Kluyveromyces lactis: one gene and its partner. The protein of the gene in region 2 interacts with the protein of the main gene of each other region in a pairwise test. Links are inferred from orthologs where the notes say so. Each region holds a gene or a part of one and is shown on either strand. Other genes may lie near its edges. The genes, in order: APS1 and APL4.

Evidence for each region.
Region 1: the proteins of APL4 (region 2) and APS1 interact in binary tests that used the Saccharomyces cerevisiae proteins (3 or more experiments, as listed by UniProt). The link is inferred for Kluyveromyces lactis from reciprocal best matches to the Saccharomyces cerevisiae genes APL4 and APS1.

The regions. Positions count from the first base shown.
Region 1 is NC_006042.1:2,118,589-2,121,022, reverse strand, and holds APS1 (Aps1p), read left to right. Parts: upstream 1-1,286; coding exon 1,287-1,757; downstream 1,758-2,434. Other genes in the region: DPH5 (diphthine synthase), read left to right, coding at 1-894; KLLA0_F22792g (uncharacterized protein), read right to left, coding at 1,878-2,240. UniProt on the Saccharomyces cerevisiae protein: Component of the adapter complexes which link clathrin to receptors in coated vesicles. Clathrin-associated protein complexes are believed to interact with the cytoplasmic tails of membrane proteins, leading to their selection and concentration.
Region 2 is NC_006041.1:592,820-597,331, reverse strand, and holds APL4 (AP-1 complex subunit gamma), read right to left. Parts: upstream 2,972-4,512; coding exon 569-2,971; downstream 1-568. Other genes in the region: YOP1 (Yop1p), read left to right, coding at 1-390; ECM21 (Ecm21p), read left to right, coding at 3,547-4,512. UniProt on the Saccharomyces cerevisiae protein: Adaptins are components of the adapter complexes which link clathrin to receptors in coated vesicles. Clathrin-associated protein complexes are believed to interact with the cytoplasmic tails of membrane proteins, leading to their selection and concentration.

The DNA of each region.
Region 1 (2,434 bases), on a different chromosome or scaffold from region 2:
TTGTACTTTATTGGATTAGGTCTTTCTTACGAAACAGATATCACCGTCAGAGGCTTGAATGCCATCAAGCAATGTTCGAGAGTGTACTTGGAGCACTACACTTCCATATTGATGACAGCTTCTCTAGAAGAACTAGAGGAATTTTATGGCAAGAAAGTTACACTAGCTGACAGGGAACTTGTCGAATCGGGAGCTGAAGAACTTCTCCGTGATGCCGATAAAGAAGATGTTGCGTTTTTGGTTGTCGGTGACGTTTTTGGAGCCACCACTCATACTGACTTGGTGTTGCGTGCCAAGCAAAGGAATATTCCAGTAGAAGTCATCCATAACGCGTCTGTTATGAATGCAGTAGGATCATGTGGGTTGCAACTATACAATTTTGGTCAAACGATCTCTATGGTCTTTTTCACCGATAGTTGGAGACCAGATTCCTGGTACGACAAGATATGGGAAAACCGGAAAATCGGGTTGCACACCTTGGTTCTTCTAGATATCAAAGTGAAGGAACAGAGTATAGAGAATATGGCTCGTGGAAGACTCATTTATGAGCCTCCAAGATACATGAGTATTGCACAATGTTGTGAACAACTATTGGAAATTGAAGAAACAAGAGGCACTGAGGCATATACTCCTGATACTCCCTGTGTAGCAATCTCAAGACTAGGTTCTGCAAGCCAAACCTTCAAAGCAGGTACCATCAAAGAGCTAGCCGAATATGATTCTGGTGAACCATTGCATTCTTTAGTTATACTCGGTAGGCAAACCCATGAATTGGAAATCGAGTATTTGCTCGAATTCTGTGACGATAGAGAAAAATTCAAGCAAGATGTCGCCAGTGATCAAGAATATTTCAAACCACCAGCATGGGTTCCACCTCCAGAAGATGAAGATTAGGCCAGGTCATGGATATGTAAATTATATATTGCATGTATCCTTTGTGTATCCGCTTCTTCAGCTTCATGCAAAGTCGTCTGCGGTGATTCTCATTTTTCGTTATATTAACTATTAATATAACATGAATGTAATAACGTAACTGAATCGAATGAATCAGCATGTAAGCAAAAGAAAACAAACAAAGAATAACAGGTCACTAGAATCAAAGTTTAAGTCTAATTCTGTCCCAGTTGATGTTTTAAAATTAAGGTTATTATTCAGCTCTACAACTTTTCAATTGGTGTATCCGAGAAACTACGGATAAACGATTAACAAGGGCATTAAATACCACAACCACCGAGCTTAAGAGACAAAAGCTATCCTATTCGTTATAAACAAAAAAGGTCATTGAAATGTCACAGATTAAGTACATGCTTCTCACGTCGAGGCAAGGCAAGACTAGGTTAATCAGATGGTATCAACCCTTCGATATAAAGTACAAGCATAAAATACTAAGGGAAGTGACGACTAACGTACTGTCCAGGAAGTCAAAAATGTGCAATATTCTAGAATATCAAGATCACAAAGTCGTGTACAAGAAATATGCCAGTTTATACTTCATTGCAGGGATTGATTTGGATTCGGACAACGAATTGTTGACTTTAGAAATTATACACAGATTTGTGGAAACTATGGATAGATATTTTGGGAACGTCTGCGAGTTAGATATCATATTCAATTTTAGCAAGGCATACAGCATATTGGATGAAATGATAATGTGTGACGGATCTATAATAGAAACTAGTAAAGATGAAGTTATACATGTTGTGGAGGCCATGGATGCAATTGAATCAAATGATGACCTTGATAGGGTATTGAGTTGAGAATGCATGCATTCAAGCAATTGACGTGATACTGACCGAGATGAATAGAAATTTAAATTAAATTGTGAATATGTACAATATATTATCCTTTCTTTCTTTATGTACGGAAACTCAACAATTCTACTTGTACAATAGTTTTACAAAATCTGCATCCCCCATCGCACCTACACCTTTCTCGTTATCAGTAGATTCGCCTTTTTCAACAGCCCTAATCTCATTGTACAAAACACCAAATACGTATGGGGTATCATCGTATTCATCCATTTCACTGGCCAACGCCCTGTACATTACGTTACTCTTACTGCATGGATGCTTTTCTTTGTACAAAAGAACGAAATTCTTGATGAACTCCTGCTTATCATCCTTCTTTAGTTCATTCCATTTTTTATAACATCTCATCGGCGTAGCATGAAAGTTTCTGTTCTGTATCAATGCAAATCTTCCTATGGCTTGTCTAGCTGCAAACATCTTTATTAGCGTCATTACTTTCTTTCTAGTTAAAACCCCTTCTATAGTTCGTAGCAATCTCTTGAATCACTATATATTCTGCTTTGGTCAATACTTCGGAACAATGTTGGCTTGTCTGAGATAGATCTATTTCACCAAAAACGATCCAGTTATTTATTTATTATATACCCACGCCACAGAATGCGATGCGCTTTCTTTCCCCTGCCTGA
Region 2 (4,512 bases):
TTTATCAATGTTGGTGGAATTGGTGAGATTTTATCCAACTTTGTTGGATTCTGTATTCCAACATACTATTCTTTGAAAGCATTGAAGACTGCCACATCAACGGATGACACACAATTGTTAACTTATTGGATTGTTTTTTCGTTTTTGTCTGTGATCGAGTTCTGGTCCAAGGCTATTTTGTACTGGGTTCCATTCTACTGGTTCTTTAAGACTGTTTTCTTACTGTACATTGCCATTCCATCATTCGGCGGTGCCCAACTTGTTTACACGAGGTTGATTTCACCATTCTCTGACAAATACCTACCTATCGTGGAAGGGAAATCGGGAGAACTGGCCCAGAAAGTCGAAGCTGCTGCCAACAACGCTAAGGCTTCTGGATACTCCCGTTAAATTCTTCTTAGTTGAAAAATCACCCTCTGGTCCAATTTTCTTTTGAGTTCGCTTATTTGATTGCGGAAATGTGAACTCGTACCGGTGTTTATCGACATAGATCCCTTATCTACATGATGTGATTGTTATATCGTTTTATAGTTTACACAATATTACTTTAAGGCATCTTTAACGCTCGTTAATGGGGGATGTTTTCAAATTTATAATCGAATTGATCCTCGGTGGAGTTGATATTCAATTTGACCCTTAGCTTGATTTTCCCAGATCCTAGAATTTTAAGACCCTGCTTAGCTACTTCACCTGTAGCTACCTTGTGGCTTGACAGAGATCCGAATTCTGCCTTCTGTGATTTAGGAACAGCGATTAGGATCTGTAAGGTATTAATATTCGTTTTAGCTTTCAAGAATAGGTCTATTTCAGTACAACCGGGGATTGACGATTCTACTTTACCATAAACTTCAACAATATCAGATGAGTGGATATTGATAGAGTTTGGTGGTATTTCTATGCGTTGTTGGAAGGATGATGATAAAGTTGACCCATTTTGATTTGATGATTGGGGTGCTGGAGTATTGCTCAAGTTAGATAATAGATCATTAGAAGGTTTTGTAGGCGCAGTAGTTTCTGGAGTAGAGAGATCTCCTAGTAAATCTAGAAGAAGATCATTTTCCTTCTTTTTCACTTTCTTAATAGCTGGTGCAGGTACTTTCTGAGAGAAGGTTCTTAATGCAGCAGTCTCTGAGACCTTTTTATGGAAAATGGGCATTGGTTCAAGTAACGCAGCTTTAACACTTGTAGACTCATTGAATAATATTCCATACTGGACAGCCTTTGTTTGAATCATGACGTTGGTGTTTTCCGTGTGGCCTTTAATTAACTGCCTCAATCTATTGGATAGCACTTTTGTATCAATCTTTACAGATAGCTTCAAAGCAGCCAGCAAAACATAGCTTGTTACCATAGGGTTATCACAGTACAAGCTATCGGATTCATATAAGTAACCTGTTAAATTTGTTTCTGTGCATCTGCCATTACCTAAAATCAGATCAGCGTATTCACCGATGCACCAAATCGAGACAACTCTCCATGCTAAATTTTCGTCTGAGACTTGGCTAGAGTCATTATCCAATGCTACGTTGATAATGTTAGAAACCACTTGCTTCTTATGTTCCAGGTTCGAATTATTGTTAATCATAATTAATGCATCAGTAGTCTTCTCAACTGAAATATATTGGCCAACAAATTTCAATATTTTAACTATGACATCCAGTTTCCAGGAATCATCTATTTCATCTTGAAGATCGAAAACCATTATAAGTTGATCTACACAGTACAATATTAGTCCTTTATCGTTTTCTCCTGCTTTTTCTAAGAACGTAAGAATCTCTGCGATCAATTCCCTCATATTTGTTTGGTTTAAAATTGCGAACGTCATCTCAAGAGCCCTCTTTTTGATTGAAATATCAGAATCAAAGATACAACGTGAGATAAACTTTCTATGCCTTTGGACCGCCTGTGGCTCTACCGAAACAACATCTAACAATGCGTTTAATGAAACATATTTTGTGTTGTAATCCTTGTCTGCAACTAGATTACCCAACACGTTGACACCTAGTACTCTCAAGGAGCGCTCTGCTTGGAATGAAAAAATAGTGCGCACTGCCTCGTATAAGACTGAAGTACAACTATTCGAAGTAGTTGGAGTGTAAGTTGCAACTCGGGTCAATGTATCCAAGTAGTTATTCTTGTAAGGCTTAGTTTGCTCAGGGAAGTACTGCAAGAACAAACGTAATGTAGTCATGAGTTCGACTTGTAAAAATGGATCGAGACAACCGCCAACGTTATATTCTGGGTTGGACGATCCTAAATTCAAATGGTGTAGTTTTCCTAAGAGATCAGGTATCAAGGAGGATAGTTTATCAATGATCTCTGGTAGATTATCAAATTCGTACGATTTGGTATTGATGATGATTGCCTGGATCAATTTGTTGGTACCAATTAGAACACCATGGCTAGTAGATTCTTTACTCGAAAGCATCTTGTTAGCGTAAGGAGCGAAAATTTCCAAAAGGGATGGATCCCTCGCAATAAGTTTTCCAGAGCATGCCAACGCCTTTTTGATCAGAAAACTGTCCCTGGAATGCTCTAGAATATTTTTGATATCGGTATACAAATCACGAGCCAACTCTGGAGAAGTCAAAGCGCCCAATGCGTTGATTGCTAACGAAACCACATATCTCGATGGATGATTCAAATCGTTATTCAAAAGATTGGTCAAAAGAGTCAACAATTCCTGATTCTCATCCAATAACAAAACTGCAGCAAGATATCCAACTCTCTTATCGGCGAAGTCTTCAGAAGCAATTAAGTTTATACACTCTACCTGGGCAAAATGTGTCTTTTCTCCCAAGATATACAAATATAACAGCTTGTTAATGTACTTCCTTCTCCTTTCCAGTGAAATATGATCATCCTTCAACTTGGTCCTGATCCTTGCTGATTCCTTGGTAACGATTGACCTTTCTTCAGCCAACGTTTTCGCGGCCCTGACTTCCTTAATGAAAGTCCTCAATGAACCCATTGTTTCTACTTATGTTTCCCAACAAACAAAAAATTGCTAAAGCTCTTTGCGCACCTATATACAACTTATAGTTGAAAACACCACACGCACGCACACTCCCAGCGTTAATTGCAAAAGTTACAGATACCGTGTACGCTGTTCTCAGTTGTCAAGCCCAGTATACGTTACATGTATTTATAGCTATTCTTGTTTATAGAACTGTCCTTTCCAGATTTCGAAATCATGGAAATTATTTATGGCCCCCAAACCTGATTTCTGGGCCCAAGGAAGTTTTTAATGAAAAAGAACCCTTCAAATCTGAAATGTAAATAGTTCATACCAACTAAGTAGGCTGATGATTAACATAAATATAATCCGATGTTTCAGCAGGGAGAGCAAAGTCTAATCTATTCAGCTTAGTGGGTTAGCGAATACATATAGTATTGTGGTTTTTCCTAAACAAGAACTTCACACTTTGGTCACTTTTAAAGTTATTTATTTATTGATCATTTGGTTCTTTTTGCATCCAAGGTAAGTAACCAAACCCTTTTGAGAGATAAGCTGAGATTTTACAGGTCCACGACGGTTGGAAGATAATGTCATTTTTCAGTTCACATCTGGGGTCGTCCTCTGGAAAGCAGAAGGATGGGAATAGGAAAAGATCTTCGTCAATCAAGCAAGCATTTGCATCCATCTTAGGAGCTAGCGGGTCAAAAAGTAGTGGTTCTACCCTTTCAAGGTCAAACAGTAATGGACGTTCCGCAAGTGTACCAAGCTCTAATAGCGCTCGTAGGGCATCTTCCAGACGGCCCAGTGGCGCATATGGCACTTCTGCTATGCCTGCAGGATTCAGTCCGATGATGGCCTTTGGAACGCCGTATTCTATCTATGGATATCAAGATTACGGAGCCCCACAGAACGAATTAGCGATGTCTTCGGAAGAAGGAACTGATAACGAAATTGACGAGGATCAAGGAGATAGCAGTCTGTTGGATTATAGCCTTGGAGGCAACGATTCTGATGGAGACCTAGGCAATGACATCTACACATCATCTTTACAACCGAGCAGATTTCAGAGTCAGCCTAATCGTAGAATGTCTAATGATGACGAACGTGGTGGACCTTTCTCTGTGGTAAGCGATGATGAAGATGATGATGAATATGACGGTCCAGACAATGAAAACGATGGAGATGATGAAGGTGATGATGATGACTTTGAGGAGAATTGTTTGGGCAGGAGGATTACAAGGGTATCGACCGCTTTCAGTGCGACTGGTTCGCAGATCAGCAACACCGTCGTGAACAGGAAAAAAACTGCCAAAACGTGTTTGCTAAATTACTTGGCTGACCGTGGATTATTAAGACCAAGACTTCTTTCTTCGAAGAATGGTGTTACCTTCCACGTTGCCACTTCCGGTGATAACATATTTTTACCTACTATCTCGCCAACTGACGATGAATACTTAAATCATTTGAGCAGACTTAATGATGATGATGATGATGGTGCATTTGGTGATGCGTTAGAACGTTTAGCTACCAGGGATCCTTCTGAGTTCTCAAGA